Linked DNA regions of Yarrowia lipolytica. The main gene of each other region encodes a partner of the protein of the gene in region 2 in a complex. Links are inferred from orthologs where the notes say so. Each region holds a gene or a part of one and is shown on either strand. Other genes may lie near its edges.

What was found.
Region 1: YALI1_A20849g (region 2) and YALI1_B14686g share a complex: the UniProt entries of both Saccharomyces cerevisiae proteins name them as parts of the spliceosome U4/U6-U5 tri-snRNP complex. The link is inferred for Yarrowia lipolytica from reciprocal best matches to the Saccharomyces cerevisiae genes LSM4 and LSM3.
Region 3: the proteins of YALI1_A20849g (region 2) and YALI1_F37998g are in contact, whole or in part, in a crystal structure (PDB 4M78), measured with the Saccharomyces cerevisiae proteins. The link is inferred for Yarrowia lipolytica from reciprocal best matches to the Saccharomyces cerevisiae genes LSM4 and LSM7. Residues at the interface, in NP_011037.3 of Saccharomyces cerevisiae: Glu23, Asn31, Val32, Asp33, Asn37, Leu38, Thr39, Glu45, Leu66, Glu68, Ile69, Tyr70, Ile71, Arg72, Phe75; in NP_014252.2 of Saccharomyces cerevisiae: Ile27, Leu28, Lys32, Tyr33, Arg39, Lys41, Leu58, Met59, Gly96, Thr97, Leu99, Val100, Ser101, Leu102, Ser103, Ser104.

What each region holds. Positions count from the first base shown.
Region 1 is NC_090771.1:1,464,245-1,471,391, reverse strand, and holds YALI1_B14686g (uncharacterized protein), read right to left. Parts: upstream 2,767-7,147; coding exon 2,650-2,766; intron 2,496-2,649; coding exon 2,328-2,495; downstream 1-2,327. Other genes in the region: YALI1_B14733g (uncharacterized protein), read left to right, coding at 1-1,976; YALI1_B14680g (mitochondrial 54S ribosomal protein uL29m), read left to right, coding at 3,370-4,392; YALI1_B14658g (uncharacterized protein), read right to left, coding at 4,827-5,555; YALI1_B14645g (uncharacterized protein), read left to right, coding at 6,841-7,147. UniProt on the Saccharomyces cerevisiae protein: Component of LSm protein complexes, which are involved in RNA processing and may function in a chaperone-like manner. Component of the cytoplasmic LSM1-LSM7 complex which is involved in mRNA degradation by activating the decapping step.
Region 2 is NC_090770.1:2,080,992-2,088,383, forward strand, and holds YALI1_A20849g (uncharacterized protein), read right to left. Parts: upstream 3,981-7,392; coding exon 3,978-3,980; intron 3,881-3,977; coding exon 3,494-3,880; downstream 1-3,493. Other genes in the region: YALI1_A20822g (uncharacterized protein), read right to left, coding at 1-1,227, 1,323-1,397; YALI1_A20839g (uncharacterized protein), read right to left, coding at 2,533-2,902, 2,951-3,060; YALI1_A20855g (uncharacterized protein), read left to right, coding at 4,445-6,343; YALI1_A20884g (uncharacterized protein), read right to left, coding at 6,430-7,389. UniProt on the Saccharomyces cerevisiae protein: Component of LSm protein complexes, which are involved in RNA processing and may function in a chaperone-like manner. Component of the cytoplasmic LSM1-LSM7 complex which is involved in mRNA degradation by activating the decapping step.
Region 3 is NC_090775.1:3,795,816-3,803,322, forward strand, and holds YALI1_F37998g (uncharacterized protein), read right to left. Parts: upstream 4,072-7,507; coding exon 4,045-4,071; intron 3,992-4,044; coding exon 3,521-3,991; downstream 1-3,520. Other genes in the region: YALI1_F37963g (90S preribosome/SSU processome component KRR1), read left to right, coding at 535-1,614; YALI1_F37986g (uncharacterized protein), read right to left, coding at 1,687-2,874; YALI1_F38013g (uncharacterized protein), read right to left, coding at 4,747-5,514. UniProt on the Saccharomyces cerevisiae protein: Component of LSm protein complexes, which are involved in RNA processing and may function in a chaperone-like manner. Component of the cytoplasmic LSM1-LSM7 complex which is involved in mRNA degradation by activating the decapping step.

The DNA.
Region 1 (7,147 bases), on a different chromosome or scaffold from region 2:
TTGTCTTGAACGGCCGAGTGCGTTCTGTGGCTGAAACTAAGGGCGACTCCGGTATTGTGGGAGGTGAATCTGGTGATGCGAAGGATGGAAAGAGTCATCGAAAGAATCTCACCAGTATCGGAGAATATGGAAAGGGCGAGTCTGTTGGCGAGCTGGAGGTGTTAACACTTACCAGACGTCCCTCTACTCTCGTTGCCATTCGAGATGCTGAGCTGGCCAAAATTCCCAGAGCTCTGTTTGAGTCTTTGGCCCTCCACTACCCCAGTATCACCTTTGAGATCTCCCGAATTGTGGCTTCACGAGTCCGTACTCTAATGGAAGACTCCGCTCCGATTCCCCGACGAATGCACACCTTTGATATGGCTGCCCACCATGATAGTTACTTGACTATCGCTGTTGTTCCCATCTCTCAGGATGTTGATGTGAGTGAGTTTGGACGACGACTTTACAACGGTATGCAGGCGGTGGGACGAGAAGCGTGTCACTTGAACCATGCTTCTGTGCTTAACCATATGGGCAGACATGCTTTCAACCCTCTTGGTAAGTTGAAGCTGTCTGGTTTCCTTGATGACATTGAGGACCGGTACCAGACTGTTTTGTATGTTGCAGATACCCCTCCTGGTTCCTCATGGACCCATACTTGCATTTCTCAGGCTGATTGTGTTCTGCTTGTCGCTGACGCTCGTTCCGAGCCTGACATTGGTGAGTACGAACGTGTGCTGGTGAAGATGCGAACCACTGCCAGAACCGAGATGGTTCTCATTCACCCTGAACGATACGTTCCTCCTGGACTCACTAGTGCGTGGTTGAAGCCTCGAGTGTGGGTTCACACCCATCATCACGTTCAGATGGATCTTCCTCGTCATGAAGCTGATGTCCTGGCCAGTATCCGAAAGATGAAGCGAACAGGAACCCTCGCGAACCTCAAAAACAAGGTCCAAACGATCCAAGAAGAGTTCCGTTCCATGTACCGCCCCAAGGCTAACATCTATAGCACGTCTTCGGCCAACAAGGACGACTTCAATCGACTTGCCAGAATCCTCTCTGGACAAGCTATTGGACTTGTTCTTGGCGGAGGAGGAGCTCGAGGTATTTCCCATATTGGAATTATCAAGGCTCTCGAAGACTCTGGTATTCCTATTGATTTCGTGGGAGGTACTTCCATCGGTTCCTTCATAGGGGGGCTCTATGCCAAAGAATACGATCTGGTGCCCATCTATGGACGAGCCAAGAAGTTCTCTGGACGAGTATCTTCTCTTTGGCGTATGGCTTTGGATCTGACCTATCCTGCCACCTCATACACCACTGGTCACGAGTTCAACCGAGGAATCTGGAAAGCTTTTGGCGACTCCCGTATCGAAGACTTCTGGCTCCGATACTTCACTAACACGACAAACATTACTCATTCTAGAATGGAGATCCACACATCTGGATATGCGTGGAGATACATTCGAGCAAGTATGTCTCTTGCTGGTCTTCTTCCTCCTTTGACAGACAATGGATCTATGTTGTTGGATGGAGGTTATGTTGATAACCTGCCTGTTTCGGAGATGAAGGCTCAGGGAGCCTCCGTGGTATTTGCCGTAGATGTCGGATCTATCGACGATACCACTCCCATGAACTACGGTGACTCCTTGTCTGGTGCATGGGTCATGTGGAACCGATGGAATCCCTTTGGTCGACATCCTAATGTTCCCAACCTGGCAGAAATTCAGGCTCGGTTGGCATACGTATCATCAGTGGGTGCTCTTGAGAAGGCTAAGCACACCCCTGGCGTCATCTACATGCGTCCCCCCATTGACGATTTTGCTACTCTTGACTTCGCCAAATTCCTTGACATCTATAGGGTAGGTAACAAGTACGGCCACAAGTTCCTGACCGAGTTGCGAGAGGATGGCAAGTTTCCTGCTATCCCTGGAATGGAGAATGTTAAGACCAAACATAAGAGAACCATTGCCCGGCGAAATAGTATTTAGGGAGGTTCATCGTTCATCGTATATAAAATAGCTTGTATAAATAGATATACTGTCATAAATCGTGAGGTGAATGCTGGCGTAGTTGACATTTCTCCTATTTGTAATTGCAAGTAAAAGTATTTGTGATCCTGACTCTGTTAACCATTTTTGAAATTCTATAGACAACGGTAGCGACCTTGATGTTCTACTCAGAATAGGACGATCTATGCAGAACCTGTATATTGTCACAATCCTTACACCGCAATTTCATGCGAATACACCTAGGGGCGCCTGTTTCCAGACGTCCTCTAGCCAGGTTACGGCGCTCACAAGCTTGCACTATTCAAACCATCCATTACTATAATACATGCCCTAAGGTCGCTTCGGGGGGTTAGAGGTGACCAGAATGACCGAGTCTCCTCGAACAAAAAGCATTTCGCTCTTCTTCTTTCGGGCCTCCAGTTTTGGACTGCCCTCCACGTACTCGAAGACTGTTTCCTCTACGTTTCCAAGCACCATACTGCAGTGGATATCGTAGGCCTGGGTTAGTAACAGAATGGACTAGGACAGGTCATTAGCGGACAGCAACAGACATTACATTTACACATGTATCATGTTCAGTGGATATGTATCCGATTCATACCGATCTTGACTTGCCTGCCATCTTCTCATTGTCCTTCACATTGCTACTCACATGCAAAAGTCCATAAAGCTCTCGTCCTCCACGGAGCTTGACGAAAACGTTCTCGTTGAGAGAAAGACCAATGAGATCAAGGGGCTCAGAGCCGCCTGAAGTGTCGACGTCGGTCATTGTGATGTGTGGTGTGTCTGTCGATAGATGCTGATTAGTGTCTGAGATGGTGAGAGTATGGGGTTAGGGTAGGTTGGGAGGAGTGTAGAGGTGGCAGCTGGATGTGCAGAAGACGATGTGGTATTGGTATGATAGGAGGTAGTGGTTGCAACAGGGGATGTCGTTAGTGTAACTGATCTCTTAATAGGTGTCTAGTATGTCGCATGGTGGTCGGTCTATATAGCGTCAACACCGTTTCAGGTGACTGTAAGTATAGCACTAGTAGTGGGTAGAAATGTGAGTGGGTATAACTACATACTGTACCAGTAGAGAGAGAATATGGTGCCGAACATCACAAGGAAGAGGGACCATCATGTTTTGGAAGTCCTGACATTGAAAGAAGTCAGATGTTAAGGACTTGACATCTTTTTAATGAACAATTAGGTGCCCTGAAGACCATTTCTATTACTGATCCTCTCTACACGCGTCACATGACATGAAACCCTATTCTGCTAGCACCTACCGAGCGAAATTTGGGAGGTGAAATCCTGTGGGAGAATAAAGTTCCAGATTCCCAAGCGATTTTTTCAACTGACGACTGTATCCAACAGAACATACACAACCATGATCCGATCGCTACACACATCGGCTGTTCGACAGGGTCGTAAGAAGTGGCCCAAGCCGCTGCCCGGCTCCGTGACCGGCAACGAGTTTGTCAAAAAGCTGGAGCTCAAGGCCCCTATTGCGCCTGCTCTGGACAATATCGAGGTACCCGATTCGCATCCTCTGTGGCAGTTTTTTTGCAAGGACAAGAAAATTGTACGGGATCAGCGGAGCTTTGACAGCAGCACGCGACCCTGGAGTGTGGCCGAGCTGCGACGAAAGTCGTTTGAGGATCTCCATGCTCTGTGGTACGTGTGTCTCAAGGAGCGAAACATTCTTCTGAAGGAGGAACGAGTCACCACCCGAATGCACTTTGAGAACCAGAACGGTGGTTACAGAAGCGAGCATGACCGAGTCGGCGAAACCATGGTCAACATTCGACACGTACTGGCCGAGCGATACAGAGCGTTTGAGGAGGTCCAGCAGGTGCTTCCCGAGGTGCGAGCCCAGGCCAACGCCGAATTTGACGAAAAGTACGTCACTGCTGACGCCGTCTACGACAGCGAGCTGTCTCTGGAGCTCGAGCGACACCTTGTCGCCTACTACGGCTTCTCCACCGACCCCCGAGCCAACGCTGGCGTGCAGGTGGACGAGAAGATTATCGAGGCCGTCAAGTACGGTGCCAAGCTCAAGTACGAGCGATACAGCGGAGCCACCGACGAGAACGGCAATCCCATTGCCAACCACGGCTTTGTGCACCAGCCCAAGCGAGACATTTTTGAGCAGTACCTCATGTTCCTGGCTAATGACACCACCGAGGGAGTCGCCGAGGCCCTCAGCTACATCAAACAGTACCGAGAGTCCAACCCTCTGCCCGTGGCTCCCTGGAACGCCATCCGGGTGCTGCAACATCTTGTGGAGGAGAAGATGGGCGCCGCCGCCGTGTTTGAGGAGGCTCTGAAGAACAAAAAGTTGGATCTGTCCGAGCAGGACATTCTGGAGAACATTCCTGCCCAGTTCCTTAACAAGCTCCCCAAGGAGTGATGTATATAAGAGTCATGTATATAGTAACGATATGATAACAGATAGTGGGTAGTGTGTATGAGTGGGAGTAAATGTTGTATATGGGTACAACTGTACTACTGACGATAGTGTACAATTCATGAGTGTTACGGCTGATGAGAATGCTGTGTAGCCTGTCTGAGCGTACAAAGCCTTTCATGGAAGAGGATGTAACTACGGTTACCTCAACCTCCATTACAGTATGTACTTGTAGATCGAAACCATCTCCACTACGAGTACATTACAGTACATTACAGTATTGTCTGTCCAAAAGTACCCTACGCAAGTATTGGTTCATCATGACTTACTGAAATTAGTCATCAAATCGTCAAATGCAAATATATACAGTCTCTGAGTGGTAGAGGATTGCAATGGAGCTTGTCGCTTCTAACCACGGCTCGTTACGCTCTCCGCAGTTAGCCCTCAACAACATCATCAACATACCCCAACTTTTCCTTCCGGGCCTCTCGTCCTCCGTCAGGAATAGCTCCAAAACGGTTAAATGGCCACAGCACCTTGGGACACTTGCCATGCATGAGACCGAGTGACACTGGACCGAAGTTGTTGGAGTCGAACGAATGGATGTTGTCGCCCTCGACCCACACGTGGTTAAAGGGCACAAAGCACGTCTTTTGCGGGTACGGGTGGCGGGTCACAATCTCGTCGCCTCCCACTCCAAGAATCCGCTTGCACAAAAACTTATCCGGATCCATGGGGTTTCGCAGCAGCACCACGTCTCCGACCTTGAGGTAACCGGGCTGTTTGATTAGGAATTTCTGCAACAGCACAATGTCACGCTTGCCAAGATTTGAGTCGGGGTTCAGAGCAGGGGTCATGCTGTTGCCGCTGATATGGCCGAGAAAGTAGGCGTGGTCCAGAAAACATATTGCCACAGGGATCCATGTTGACCAGATGAACAATCTCATAGCCGGTTTCTGGCGCAGTGCCGCCCACTTGCGCGACTTTTGCGCAAACCAATCCTGAAAGCCCATGCTGTTGAAAGAATGTGTCGTTCGTGGGTCTGTGCAGTGTGGTGTGTTCAATGTTCCATATGCATGGCGATGGTTTAAAACTGGGAATGAAATTTCCTGGAGTGAGTGAATGCTGGCGGCCAGAGAGTGATACCGATGTTGTAGAGAAGACATGATAACGAGGAAAGATGGATAGAAATTATCACCTTCGGATGCTTACATTGCGCAGAAAGCCAGAACACGTATGTGCTGTGACATCCGAACAATGGGGTATGTTCTGGTAAAACACTCCCTAAACGGATCACTTGCCATAACTTTACAGTATGTACTTTCTTAGTACATCTGCAATTTGAGAAAGAATGAGTGTGCACTAATCTCGGGATCTTAGAGCTATAATCTGGAACTTGGTAATATTTAATGACTATAAAACGAATTCTACCTAGCCTGTTGGATTTTTCTTTGTCATATTCTTTATCAGTGCCGGGATAGAAGTTTTTTTTTTTTTCTGCATATTTTGAACCCCCACATTACTAGTATCTTTACTAGACTTTCAACTATGACTTTCTCATAGTTGGAAAGTTGCTTAAGAATACAACCAACATTCTTCAGCAAACTTTGAACAGTATTCCCGTGTCAAGATTTTGTCGGATATACTGTGCCCTCTGGCCATTTGCACCCCGTCAACCTCTCTTTCGTGAGAAGCGCAAATACTGTACCTGCCACCAACCTCGTATAAGGTGCCATTTATAGTGGGGGTACAGTTTGCACTTTAAACGAGAGCTCGCTGATGGAGGTGAGTGGTAGAGAATCACTCTCTCAATAAGGAGGTCACATAAGTTGTCAAGTTCTACAAGTAGTTTCTGCAAGTAGTTCGTCACAACCAAAGGTATGCACTACCGTCATAAAATGTCACTGTCTCTGTCGATGGCAGTCAGTCATCTCCTGGTAACGAGCCAAGGTTCAACCGCCAGTCTTAACTCCGTTGCGGCTTGCTCAAAGTTCAGGAGCCGTGTCGGCTGGGGTTTTACCCCGGCATTGATGCATAAGAAGTATTATAGCGAATTTGAGAACAGCTTATATGAGGAACAGAGTCGATACTGCGATATGTGACCTTGTAAGTTCATATAGTAACTTGGTTTCACTTCATCACACTTATTGCAACACATTTGCCTGGTCTCCCACACAGGCTAGTACAACTGTAGCGAATTTACATTTGCAGCATTTATGCACAACAGGCACAAAGCAGCATGACTATTAAAATGTAGATCCATCCGTTCGGTATGGTATAACTCTTGCAAGAACATACACGACTGCCCAGAGCTTTATTATTTCTATTTCAGAGACACACAGAGACACAGAAACACAGAAACACTGACGGCGGCTCTCCAACTACTTGCTCTTCAACTCTCTTCTACGCGCATACTCAACAAAACTCCGATACAAGGCCGACCGGAACAGAATGGGAAAACTTGTCGACAAGTTGATGAAGGTCATAAACTTCTTGATCTCACAGTGGTTCATTATAGGCATGGGAGTAGCGGTTGCCATCGCATATGCCGCCCCGAACTACGCGAGATCAGGAGGTATGATCCGGTCAGATATTACCATCGAGTATCTGGCAGTAGCCGCTATTTTCCTCATTTCGGGGCTCAGCATGCCCTCTAGAACCCTGCTCAAGGAGCTGGGCAACTGGCGAGCACACTTAATAACACAAGGGCTATCATTTCTGGTCACACCTGCTCTCATGTTTGGTTTCGTTAAGGCTA
Region 2 (7,392 bases):
AAGGGCGTATCCAGACCCACACACGGGTCCCAGGACATGGATGATGTAATCAAGAATGTGGGGGTACGAGACGGACCGCACCAGACTCAGAACCATGATTCCGACAATGAAGGCCACATCATTGGGCACCGTGCACGAAATGCCGGCCGCTACCGCAAACAGAGCGCCCAGACGAACCACATTCGTGTCTGACTGCTTGATGGAGCGCCGACAGATCTTGGAAATGCCCAGAAAGATGTAGGGCAGCAGAGTGGGAGTGCCCAAAAGGCCGCCCATGGCTGTGACGGACAGTCCGACGGAGATTTTGGCCAGATCAAGGGTCCGCCAGTCCCACATGTACGAGGAGAAGACGGGCATGATTTTCAGAGAGGCTGCAGATGTCATGGAGACCAGCCCTGCGACAATCATGATGCTTTTGAGAGGGGAGGGCACCGCCTTCTCGGTGAGATCAGCAGTGGATGAGTTGGGGGAGTAGAGCGTGTCCTTGGAATCACGATACTCTTTTGGGGTGTGCAGATAACAGGGTCCTGTAAGAGCTCTGAACTCGGGCAGGTTCTTTGACCACATGTAGAAGGTTGCGGCGAGACCCAGAGCCAGCAGCATGGCCAAAAGCGGGTTTCCAGACTCCTCCAGGATTCGTCCAACTGTGGAACCCAGCCAGTCCTTACAGACAATACGTAGAACCAGCAGCTGAATCAGCGGGAGCAGACGTAGATCCGGCCAGCCTGCAAAGAAGCCCGTTGTGGTCCGTTTCTCTGCCACCTCCGAGATGCGCTCTGTGTTTTTCTCTTCGTCGTTGGTCATGTCACAGAGGTACATGGCAGCCAGAGCCAGCACCGACTTATCGCACTGCATAGCCACAGACACGAGATAGACCGGGTACGGCAATCCCAGGGCATAGGTGAAGCAGGCCACTCCGACGGATGCCGTGGCCAGAATGGCACACATGTGTACTCCCCATACTCTTCCCTTTGCGTCGCTTGTCGACAAGATCTTGAAGGCCGTGTAGATCTGAACGAGCGTCGCTAATGCCACCATGATTTCAAACGTCGTATAGTGGGTATGGATGGCCGAAATCTGGCACACTTCGTCTGCGAGCGAGACTCCGGGTCCGGACGTGAGTCTCGGGAAAAATGCTCGGCATATTGATGTGAGGTGGAGTTGTGGTGACAGCTGGTTGTGGATTCCAAAAGCTACAAACGCGGGAGCTATGGTGGCCAGCAGAGTCTGTGTTAGATAGTCTGACATGTTTCTCCTTCCTGTTTGGTGCGACGCGTCTCATGCCATCGAGCATGTTTCTGTGCCCGCTCTCCGGTACTCACATTTGTCCGCTTGGCCGCGTAGGACCGACCAAAATCGTTGTTGCTCAGATACTGGACCACGTTGGTCCCCGTCATGATTATCTGACCGTAAGAGTTGGTTTCGAGGGCTGAGTCGAGACAAGGCTTTCAGGAGTCCATAAAGTTTTGGCAGAGTCGGCTGTAAAATAGTGTGAAGACAGTAAAATCGACTTTGGCGGTGGGGGTTCAAAGACCCAAGTAAGCGGATAAAATCCCGTATTTAAGCACTCGGACTCTTCCCCACAGCTCCATATATACATATTCCACTACGACCCTGTGCTATCACAGCCTCTCTGTGGTGCTAATCATCAATCTCTAATTTATTTTCTTCCTTTTCTGTTATCCGCTGTGCTGAGACTGAGACGCAAAAAGGTTCGATGAGGGGATCGATTACTGCGAAGAGCCTTGGACAAAAGTTTTTTAAGCAATTTGTTTAGCGTCTGCTTGTAGTTCGGCACACGCGTGACCCAGCCAGTGGCGCAGTAACCGCAGCAACACGCCCGCACGTTTACCGTTTCGACGGAAATAATGGGGCCACCGAAACCGCCGCTTTTGCCTGCGCAAAAAAAATTCAACTAGCACTGCAACATAACATATATAATATCGATAAAAGAGCTCGCCAAAAAGCGCTATGTTTTTCGGGTCTGCCTTGCTATGCTATTTTGGGAATCCTCCTGCCTATTTGGGTTGGGCCTGCTTGTGCCAGACCACAGCAGTAGACTACAGTAGACCGCGATATATATTTCATCAAGGTACAGTACATACGAGAGTTAGAATAATGAGTAGAATAATAAGAAAGGAAAATACAAAGCTTGGGTACAGCACCGTTACTCTTTGCAGCATGAGGCAAGCCTCCCAAATGCGCGACACAGTTGACCGCCGAATGCTTATCAAGACACTGTAGTTTCAGACCACATCCAACACATCGGGAAGAAGACCACCGAGCTGGGCCTCGGAAGAGCTTCCTCCAACGTTTAGATTGCTCTACGGAGGTACACACCACAAGAGTCTTTTAAACATATGGCTTATGGTTATTTCCTACATTATTGAGACGTTTAATTTCCGACCGACGGACCATGGCCAGTGCATTCGCTACAGTATGTACATACCACGTTTCATACATAGATGGGTCGTAGACTCCAGTGATGATAACAATGACATCAGTTTAGGTACAATGAACCACTGCGTGCAATCACAACGGACCCTTCCTCCCTCTAAAACCACTGTGATAGTCTACTTGTGGGATCCCCTCATATAAACCCCATGACGAGCCAGATAAACACCGCAATCCGAGCAACTGTAACTTCGTACTATTCTGCGTTGGATGTGAAGTGAAAGTCTCGAACAGTCGCTTGTGGCAGGACGGCGAGTAGGAGTTAGAGCAGTTCCATATGACCGGATATCTGAGAACAATTCGCGCGAGCACACGGGTACGAATACGAGAGATATCAACCACAACCTGGCAGTGGAAGACTTGGTTGCTATAGCTAGACTTCGTATGACTGATAGCAATGACAAGTATGTACAATACTGTAGCAACTAACAAATATGGCGATAATGGACTGCAGTAAATAGCTACAGAATTCTGCTCCGAAACTCACTGAGTGTACAAGAATCGGTATTGGTGTTGTATGATGGTAGAAGGTAACCATTGTAATGCATCTACAAAGACTTTCAACGACGACGAGGATCCAACATCCAACTTTTTTATCACACACATGTTCCACGATAAGTTTCCTTCTATAGCTAGTCAGGCACCACCAATTACTACTTGTAAAATAGAATGGAACTCTCAACAGAAGCTACTTCCACGGGCACCTGTACTTGTACTGGTACAGTTCTGTCCACGTGATCACTTACATTCGAATGAGAACTTGTGGCGACACAGAGAAAGCAACCAAATCATCCAAGTACGTACAAAGCCTGTCCCCCTACGTAAGCCGATTGTACTCAATTCCATCACCGCCACTCGTCTACAGCTACTACTATCTCCACCTACAATCCCCTAGATCAATCATCTCCTAAAATACATTACTAATCGGCAGAATGGCGGCTATCAAGCGGAACTTCACACATGGTAGCCATCTGCAGATCGGGGAAGGTCGTGGCCTTCGGTAGCCAGCGCTCGCGTTCAAACATGGACACAAACACGTCTAATATCGTCGTCCTCCACCTCGCTGTCGCTGGTTGGGGTTGTTGCTCTGGTTGTTGTAGTTTCGGTTGCCTCGTCGGTTGCCAAACTGGCCGCCCTGCTCCAGCTGCTGCTGTCGCTGTCGCTGTTCCCGCTGCTGGCTGTATTGTTGCTTGATGCTGTGCAGTAGCTCGTCTGGCAGCTGGAGAGCCTTGATGTTGGAGCCTCGTACATAGTACTCGGACACGGTGGCGGTGTTTTCGCCCGATGCAGAAAACTCTTCGACCTCCTTGAGCGTGAGGTTCATCCAGTGGTCACATTTCAACAGGTGGCCTCTCAGGGACTCGCCCGATTTGAGCTCCACCAGCATGGGCTGACCCTGTGCTGCGTTGAGTAGGGATAAGGGTAGCTGCGTTAGTCATGGTCTGTCTGCCCACGGTTGGGCCGGTGCGTATCGCATCGAGAGGGGCCCACGTGAGCCCCAGGACGCCTGTATCAATACTCACCATCGATGTGGATTATGGTGACAGTTGGTGCTGGCGGTGAAAAAGCATATTTTGGGGCTAGGGTTGGGTGATGATGGTTTAGGTGTGTGCTTGTGGTGGGAACTATTACGTAACCTGAGCTGTAAGGACTCAGGTGCACACCAATTGGGAATTGCCGCAGGGATAAGACGATAATAGAAGTAAGGCGGAGCGCCAGGGGCAGGCCATACGAGATTTATATAGAGAAAAAAAAAAGCAACCCTCACACCCACGACATTCATTCTGTCACTGCCAAACAAGTATATATTTATATATCTCTAACCGCTGATCTGGCTCCCTCCCAGCTGGGACTCCAAATTACCCTCGCTACGATACTGCACACCCAGCCCACATACGGCTTTTCTCGTTGTCCAAAACAGCACATAGGGTAACTCGAAACCCGAAACCCATTATTGCGCCAACGCGACACGACGACGCACTACGCGACCATGTCCATCTACAAAGCAACGTATTCGGGCGTGCCCGTCTACGAGTTCCAGTGTAAGAATGTGGCCGTGATGCGGCGCAAATCCGACGGCTGGGTCAACGCTACCCACATCCTCAAGGTCGCTGGCTTCGACAAGCCTCAGCGAACGCGGATTCTGGAAAAGGAGGTCCAGAAGGGCGTCCATGAAAAGGTCCAGGGCGGCTACGGCAAGTACCAGGGCACGTGGGTCCCCCTGGAGCGGGCCAGAGAGATTGCCACGCTGTACGACGTTGATTCACACCTTGCGCCCATCTTCAACTACGACGACGAGGATGGCTCACCTCCTCCCGCACCGAAACACAGACCCAATCTGGAGCGCAAGAAGCGGACCAAGGTGACGGGATCGCCTCTGGTTCGCCAGCCCAGTCGCATGGAGACTCTCACCCAGTCAACGGGATCCACCATGGGAGGCACTCCACAACACTCTAGACAGTCGTCTCTCAGCCAACTGGCCCAGTCTTACGGACTGGACGACAGCGACCACGTGACTCCATCGCCTCCCACAGTTGCTGACGATTCGTCCGACTTCATGTCCGATGAAGAAGTTGACCGACAAATGGGTAACTACCCTCGACCCATGATGGCCAAGCCCAAGCCAATACAGGTACGGGACCCCAAGGATCTGTACACCAACGACCTGCTCAACTACTTCGTGTCTGCTGACGACGAGAAGATCCCCGCGTTCCTGGAAAACCCACCTGCAGAGTTTGATGTGCACAGACCCATTGACGAGGAGGGCCATACAGCGTTGCATTGGGCTTGTGCCATGGGCCACCTGCGGGTGATTGAGCTGCTGCTCAAGGCCGGATCGGACGTGCGAGCCACCAACATGTTTGGCCAGACACCTTTGACGAGGGCCATCATGTTTACTAACAACTACGACCGAAGAACCTTCCCTAAAGTGGTGGACATCTTGCAAGACACCCTGTTTCAGGTGGACGGCCAGGGCAGAACCGTGCTTCACCACATTGCCCAGCACGTGAGCAAGTCGCAGTCCGCGGCCAAGTACTACGTGACTATCTTGCTGTCAAAAATTAGCGAGAACCACTCTCTAGGCGTACTGTCACAATTCATGGACACGCAGAACAACGAGGGCGACACCGCCCTGCATATTCTCGCCCGTTCAGGTGCCAAAAAGGTGTCCCGTGCCCTCATGGACTTCAATGTCAAGACAGATATCGTCAATGCCGACGGTCGAACTGCGCTGGATCTGCTGGAGGGCGACAGACAGATGCAGCAACACCCGCCGCCCGCCATGGCACTCCACCATCAGCCTCCCTACCAGATGCTGCACGAGAGCGAAACTGCCATTGCCGCACACAATCTTGCCGGAACCGTAGTGCACAACCTGCAAGTGTTGGCTCACGCCTTTGATGCCGAGCTCAAGGAGAAGGACGCCGACGTGCAACAGGTGCGCCAGATGGCCACCAAGATGGAGGAAGACATTGCCGCTACCAACGAGGCGATCCGGGAGTATGAGGCCAAACATGGCACCGCCGAGGAGCTCGAGAAACTTGCCTCTGAGGCTGAAGAGCGTGTGACTACACGGGTGAACCAGCTACGCAAGGTGTTCGAGCGGTCACAGGCGAAGGGCCTTGCCATGCTTGTTGCCGAGGAGGAGCGGGAGATATCGCGTGAACAGACCAAGGGCGAGTTCAAGACCGCCAAGGAGCTGACAGACCTCCAGCATGGACGGAAGGATCTTGTGGACGACGTGGTAGAGCTGTTCGCCAATGCCGGGGTTGGCGAGAAGATGAACGAGTACAGACGGCTGGTGGCCATGAGCTGCGGTGTCAAGGTGGAGGATATCGACGGGCTTCTTGATGGAATCGAGAAGGCTCTGCTTGAGGGAGAGAGATAGTATGGGTCGGTCTAGGACGATGTAATTTAATGTACACTACGAGGTTATCTACTTGTGTATGTAATCTGACAGCAATATTTGGTTGTTTATTCGAGCTTTAGCCCCGCAAGATCATCTCCCAGAGACTCGATCTGTATTAGTTCAATCTCCTTATCAATGCTGGCAGTGGCAACGTAGCCATCACCAGCACTAATGCATCGCAATCTCGAACCTGCCACGTTTATCTTTCGCCACGTAGTCTGGTTGAGCAGTCGCACCGAGCCGTCGTCTCCAGCAATGGCGAGAGTCTTCTCGTCCAACCAACTAAGGCGTCCCAGACTGTACTTGTCTTGAGGAATCAAAGTAGGGAAGGAAACAACAGTGTCGTCAGACTTGACAATAATGACCCTTGCGTAGGGCGTATGGCTTGTGAGACAGGCAATCTCCTTGGTATCGTTGTTGTAGACCATGTCAAACACGGTGAATGAGTGGGGCATATAGTGGGCATCGACCAGAGGAATAGTTCTGAGCTTCTCCAATTGGTCGGAGAGAAGTTGAATCGAGGTACAGTCTTCTCGAGACACAGCCAGCCCATTACGAGTCCATGCAATCGCTGTGGGGTTAGTCAGTGAGTCAATGAACGCCACCTGTTCAAAGCCAACCTGCTTCGTGACCACCACCTTTTTATCGAAGCCAATGGACGCAATCAGTCCATCTTCAGAAACAGAGATTCCTCCGACAAACCGAGAATGTGGCTTGAAACTGCTGGGTTTGTATTCTGAATCCACCTGGACAATGGATCCATCCATGCATCCCACCAGAGTGGTGTTATTGGCTCCAGCAACGATGACTCGTCCTACAGCCGGTAAGGTGAGGTTCTTGACTTCCAGAAGAGTAGTATTGTAAAAGGTCAAGTTCTTGGTCGAATCTGTAGTGACAACTCTGCCACCGATGAGCTTTGTGTCCACAATCATGTTTTTCGACTTGGTTGACAGCACAGTCAGGGTGACGTCTTCCTCCGTGACTACATTGTCGTCTTTCTGTTCCTTTTTCGGCAGGTAGGTCATCAA
Region 3 (7,507 bases), on a different chromosome or scaffold from region 2:
AAGCTCCTTCTTGGTGACGAGCCGCTTCTCTCGTTCTTCCTCCTTCTGTTTCAGAAGGGCCTCGCTCTTTTCCTTCTTCAGTGTCTCCTTGGATTTAACAGAGTAGACATCCTTGAGAGCATCTGGATCGTTGACGAGATCCAGCAGAGCCGAGTCCTTGTGTTTCTGGCTCTTCTGTTTAGGCACCGGCTTTTTGGCTGTCTTTTTTACACCACCAGTCTTGTCACGTGTTGGTCTGGAAAATGGACCTGCTCTGGCCTTTGATTTTGTCACGTTAGTCTTTGCCATGGTTGTGTAATGTCTGTGGTTGTGTTGTATGGCAACGCCTCTCAAAATATTTCTCTTTAGGTGGTTCAACGTGCATAAACTTAATTTTGGTGTGTGCCACCTCTAAACTAATTTCCCAAGTAGCTATTGATTACCTAACTACTAATTCCAATCCGCCAAACTCTGATAGAAAAAAAATTGAGTTTTCATGCGACAAATTTATCTCGTCCAAGGTAGACAGTTTCACGACACACTACACAGCCGACAATGGTCTCTACTCATAACAAAGACAAGCCATGGGATCAGCCCCACATTGATAAGTGGGCCGAGGATGAGTTCACCGAGAAGGACAACGCTTCCGGTCTGCCCTTTGCCGAGGAGTCTTCCTTCGCCACACTGTTCCCCAAGTACCGAGAAGGCTACCTAAAGGAAATCTGGGATGATGTCACCAAAGCCCTCGACCAAAAGGGTATTGCATGTGTTCTGGATCTCGTTGAGGGTTCCATGACCGTCAAAACCACCCGAAAAACTTACGATCCTTACGCCATTATGAACGCTCGAGATCTCATCAAGCTGCTGGCCCGATCGGTGCCTTTCCCCCAGGCAGTCAAGATTCTCGAGGACGGCATTGCATGTGACGTTATCAAGATTGGTAACTTCACCAGCAACAAGGAGAGATTTGTCAAGCGACGACAGCGTCTTCTTGGACCCAACGGTAACACTCTCAAGGCCCTGGAACTGCTCACACAGTGCTATATCCTTGTTCAGGGTAACACCGTCTCTGTCATGGGTCCCTACACACATATGAAGACTCTGCGACGAGTGATTGAGGACTGTATGATGAACATCCACCCCATTTACCACATCAAGGAGCTCATGATCAAGCGAGAGCTGGCCAAGCGACCCGAGCTAGCCGAGGAGGACTGGAGCCGTTTCCTGCCCCAGTTCAAGAAGCGAAATGTTGCTCGAAAGAAGCCCAAGACCATCAAGAACAAGGTTCGAACCGCTTTCCCTCCTGCCCAGCTGCCCCGAAAGGTGGATTTGCAGATCGAGTCTGGAGAGTTCTTCTTGGGTGCCGATGAGAAGCGACGACGAGCCGACGAGGAGAAGCGACAACAGCAGGCTGCTCGAAGTGCAGAGAAGCAGGCCCAGAGAGAGCTGGCCTTCATTGCGCCAGACGAGGACGAAGAGAAGGCCAAGAAGGAAAAGAAGAAGGAGAAGAAGGAAAAGAAGGAAAAGAAGGAAAAGAAGGAGAAGAAGGAGAAGAAGGAGAAGAAGCGAAAGAGCGATGACAGCGACGATGAGGGAGAGAAAAAGAAGAAGAAGAAGAAGCGATCCGTGGAGTAGCTTGCTTGTTCAGTAAAATAGATTTGTAATGCATAACTTGGTTAAAATAAATTAACTAGCTAGGCTAGAGAGCTATTCTAAAGTGCACCAACCTCGACCATCATTAACCTGGTAGTTACACAGTCCAGGCTCAAGCCAGAGACTGACTAGACCAGCAAGAACAATACCGGCAGAATCACTCATACCAACACTACCAAGAGCAAACTCTCGCTCTGCCAAATCAGCCTGTTCGGTAATCAGCAGAAAGGTGTTGACATAGGCAGCTCCCCCAAGCAGCCCTTCGTAGAATATGAGAATGAACACCAGCCAGACGTTGGGTAATATCGGTGACATAGACTGTGCAATGCAAAACACGAGGTTGGCAAACTGGAGCACTGAGGGGATCATAATTCGTCTAATTCTCACAAATGGTGCACTCGAACGTGAGATAAATACTCCCAACTGGTATAGTGTTCCATAGGTCACATAGACATCTCTGAACTTAGAAAAGGGCAACTCTTCCATGGGAAACAGAAGTGTGGGTGCCACTCCCTGGTTGATGGTGTACTCGGAAAAGTAGACCAGAAACAAAGGCAGCATGTAAGGCATAACCAGCGGCTTCAAACGGACCATTGTAGTTTCGTATCCAGAAGCAACAAACTCCCAGGTGATTGGCTGTGTTTCAATACCTGTTTCAGGGTCATTGCTGTGCACAGGGAAGGCCCCTGGTACACGGTTATAATCTCTAGGAGGAAGGAGATAGAAGTAGACTCCTAAGAAGGCCAGGGGAAAGAATGCAAAGACAAGCAATGACGTCTTGACTGAAACTCCGAGTACCGTGGTCAAGAGCATGAACAGCCCGCTACCCACTAGCCCTGCACCTCCAGTTCCGCTGCTCCACCCATTGAGAGCCCTGGTATCGTAAAAATGGGTTAATTGGAGAAAGGTGACCTCGCCCAGACCGGAAGAGAAAGAAGCCAGCACCACTCCCACGAGTTTGAGAAACAGAGGAGATGCTAGTGACACAGACATCATTCCCACAGTTGACAGGCCAACCAGCAATGTTATTCGGCGGTTATAGGGGATTTTGTGGATAAAAAATGGTGCTGCCAGCTTTATCAAGAACGATGGGAGTACGTCGGCCAGTAACACCACGGCCTTGGGTGTTTGAGGTCCCACCAGGTCTACTGCGGCGGTCAAGATAACCACATAGAGCACGTTGTTGACCAACCCAAATGTCCAAAATGCGGCGTACACAAGATGAGCAGGTTCTAGTTGCATTATGGTTGCTGAAATGTTCAATTCCTTGACATGAGTGTGTCAGTGACTTTTCGAGTATGGCCGTCGCTGGGTGGCTGGAGAAGTGTGACTGGTTGTTTATCAGTGAGTGTCGCTGTTCTGTGAAGCCAATTATCCCAACACGCATGGGACAGGCAAGTCTAATATGTGGAAGTGTGTGGTGTGTGGAGGGCGTGAATATGTGCATACAATAGCTCGATACATTACTAATCGAAATCGATATATTAACCCTTTATCCATTCGATAAGCACCATTATTGTACATTCTAATGGTAAACACGCCCCCGTTTCTACTGACTACAAGTAGTAAGACTACAAGTAGGGGTGGCGTTGGGTCGTGTGAGTGAACCCAGAGCATGGCGTAGTCAGCCCTATCACATACAGTACACTACAGCACGTAGCTACTTGAAACCATTGCAGTTTATAGATTATAACTAGAAATTCAGTACATGTACGAAGAGTATGTCGGGTCATTACACTGTTCAATACCTGCTCCGAGCCGAACATATCATTAACTTATCCCAGTACATACTGTACACCTCTGATGGCGCCCCATTACAATTGCTAAGAAAAACGACAGCAGCATCTCACTTCCACCACAACATAATATACACTCTATTACTATCCAATTAAATAGTGACCTCGGGCTTGGGCTCCACCTCAACTCCCTCTCCTCCGTCAAGAGGGTAGATAGAAAGCAGGTTAGGGCCTCGAATGACCGCCAGACCGATCTCTCGCACCTTGCCTTCCTTTTGACCCTCAAACTCGGCAAAGTCCTCGCTCTCCTCGTCCTCGTAAATGGTCTCCTTGACGTCGTCGAGAATCAAGTTCATGAGCTGATCCCAGCCCTTTAAGGTGCCCTCGATCTTTCGGCCAGTGACCTTGACAACCACTCGCTTGTTCTCGAATCGAGACAGATCTAGAATGGGCTCTCGCTTGGGGAATTCCAGCTTCTTGGACTGGCCCTGGTTCTGACCTTGGCCCTGGCCCTGGTTCTGGTTGTTCTGCTGCTGCTGATTCTGTTGGTGTTGCTGATTTTGGTGCTGGTTGTGTCCTCCATAATGGCCAGCGTTGCCATGGCCGCCTCGGCCGCCTCGTCGCTGTTGTTAGTACGTGTGAATGGATGGCTGAGCCTTCGATCCGCTATACTCACTCCTCCACGGTTGTCGTGTCGGTCCATTATTGATGATGATGAAGAGTTGTCAACCTGTGCGTTAGGTTATGAGAGAGAGCTAGTCCCAGGAAGTTTAATTTGGGGGTGTGGAAGGTGAAGTGTTGATAATACGACAGTTGGTAAGCTGAATATATACGAGTCTGGTCTCATTTGGAAGCTACTCGTCCCCTTAATACATCAACATAGATATCTTATATAGATGTTATGACTTTCGAAAGATTACCCTCTAAAATTCTCAACTTCACACCAACAACCCCGTTGGTGACCCGCCAGAATACTCCTAATATCAGCCCTCATTCCGAGTTGAAAGATATTCTGTCTCTCCATGATATGGGTCTTCTTTTTCGTTCATCTTGGAGTCCATTTTTTCGTTTTCAATCTGAGACTTAGGTTATGAGTACATACCCCAGGGGCGCAACTTTATTCCCGCTTGTTCTACAATATTAAGCTATTGTACCCATTATTAGTCAAACATTAGGCGACCAAGTGGATTGATTTCTGTTCAAGAAACAAAGACCGAACAAAATGTGACATCCGTATTCCATTTATTGATTAGTTTTGTTTACATGAGCTTAGTGTTTCAGGCAATTTCACAAACAAAATCTGTTAACGGAAAAAATACTATAATTAAAGTTATTTGAGAAATGAAGACATCCTGAACAATATGGTTGGCATAATTGTTTAGTTGGTGAGAAGACCCTGGAGTCGAGAGTTAAGACCAACAAGCATAGAAGCATCCTGTCGGAAACCGGGGATAATGTCTGCGAGCAGGTTACCGGCCTGGTTGATAGTAGCGATGAGGCCCTTGATGTCATCGGCAAAGGTGTTGACCAACTTGTTCTGAGAGATGACAGTAGAAAGAGTGATCAGGAAGAGACCAAGGTTGGTAATGAAGGCATTCAGGCCAGTGGAGATGAACATGTTGACGAGAACCTTGGTCCAGCCAGCAAGTCCATTGTAGTTCTGCAGCCACTGGATGAGCTGGTTGAGAGCTCCCTTAGCCTGGAGGATGGCCTGGGTGATAGCAGCGTTGGCCTGCTGGGGGGAAACGTTCTTGAGAGCCTGGATGGAGTTCAGGAAGAGAGATACACCAGCGTTGGTGAAGCTCTGGAAGACGTTGAAGAGAGAAATCCAGTCCTGAGCAGCTCGGGCGTCGAGGGCAACAGCATCGTCAACGAATCGCTTGGCGATCTCGCTGTTTCCGCCGAAGTGAGCCTCGACAACCTGTCGCATCTGGATGAGGCCAGCCTCCTCAGGAGCGGGGGCAGCGAGGGCAAGAGTAGCCATGGAGGCAACGGCGAGCTTGGTGAAAGAGACCATTGGTAATGTGTTGATTGGAGTGAATAGAAGAGAGAAGAGAAGAAAGGGTAGTTGTTTTCTGGATATTCGAGAGGAGGATTTCGGTGGTTTATATAGAGTCCTGGAAACAGGGTATCCATTCAATGCCATTGTATCCCACAGCACCTTGTATGACAAGGTATGGCTGAGTTAGAGTCCCGCTACTGCAGAGACACGGAATTTGTGCGTCAGACCCATAGGCAACAAAGAGCTCGTTTAGGTGACTACAGGTCTATGGTTTGAGTCTACTTACCTCGGTAGGCAGTGTAAAGCCGGTTTTGGAAGGTGTCTATCCGACTCGGCGGACTTGGATGCTCACCCAAGACAGATGTGTTGCATTGTTGAGCTTTGCTTCCAGGTACCTACATTGTACATACGAAGAATGGGTGTTTCATAAGAATCGCACACTACAAGTAGCCAACGTTGTTGATCACCGCGTTGGTTGACGTGGTTAGGGCGGTCAGTGCTAAAGCTATACCTTGAGCTTCTCAGTCCCATGGTTAGGTATCCAAATACCAACTTCAACACACCCCTGCAATGTCACTTTGACTTTTTGGTGGATACTTACAGAGAACTATGAAGATTCAGGGAGCTGAGTGGCCTGAGATGGATCGTAGGGACCTTCCAATGTGCCTGGCTGCTCTCTTAGAGACATTTCTGTCATTTTTTACATATACGCCACAATTATAATAGGAGAGCAACGTAAGTATGTCTGTATAATAGTTATAGCGTGTAGGCGATTTCTGTCTCAACATCAAGACGCCATGTTTGTCTGTTCCGACCACTCTTAAGCTACGGTACTACTTTGCTTGTCGAAAGGTGTAACGAGCTGTACGTTCAGACTAACGAAAGACTGCACGGAAGTTCTACTACAAAATATAGCGAAAACTAGTAGTAGCATTGCTCAAGAGATGTGCACCTGTAAGTTGACAGAACGCACCCGCCGGATTGATGACCCCATGATCTTTGTAACCCTACTGATTCGGGCCACACCTTAGCACTAAAGGTGGATCTCCATGTACGATTAAACCTAACTGCTATGTGCGCCTGATCAATGCAACTGTGTCCGATGGATTTGTGTTGCTGACGTGAAAGTCGCATCCACGAAACTAATGCCGAAACGGTCTCGTTTTGCCGCATTGTCTGTAAATAAACCGCAACGGATACTTACTTGCAACCACGGGGGCAGATATGGTGTCCCATCTTGTTTGCAGCCCACAGTAGTATGCAAGTCGAGACTTTGGCTGCAGCGACTCCTGAACCTTGTCCCAACGCCATCAATCAAACAATATCGAACAAACAACCACATAACAAGCGCTTCTGTAAGCGTGCAACCATGTTTGGTTGACATATTTCGCTATAAAATGTGGGGTATCCTCTCCTCACTTCTTTTGCACTCTATTTCTGTTTTTTCGCCCACTCAACTCTCGTTCCAATATGCCCACGTTATGCCTTGCAACCCCGGTTTTAACCAAGGGTTTGCAACCGAAACCCTATCCGGATATGTAGCTTGTTGGATCTGGGATGTGAACATGGTGCCCTGTCAGTTACAAAATAGTGTCTTGGTACAATACAACAGTTTTCTACAGGTGACAGTTCACCGCATTAATTGACTGCTTGTAGCTTGACACCACCGCAGCCGTCGAGAATCCACAGGAGGTCATCAACCGTATCTGGGGATCGTCAGTGATCAGCCAGATTTACGATGACTTTCACACCTTGTTGAGCGGTCGACTCTGGTCATAGAGCGTACATTAACCATAATACAAATCTATTGCGGACATTTATTACCACCCTCCTCTAGTCAGGTACAATTGACTACTGTAGCTATGGCGTCGGCTTTGTTGGTGTGGCTTCCATACGCTAGCAGTCATCATCAGAGCAACAACGCCGGAAGTCTACAAGTGTCGTTTATTCGTTCTCTTAGTCTGGAATGAAATGGTACCAACTGTCAGTCTAAACCGAACACCCCACCGTCAGTTATCGTGGTATTGTCACCAATTGGCCGTTCGAGGGTTACAATGAACGTTAGCATCATTCTCGAGCTAGCGTGTTTCCCGTTCCGTACGGTGTCCATTCCTACTCTCGAGCATATGCGTAGCAA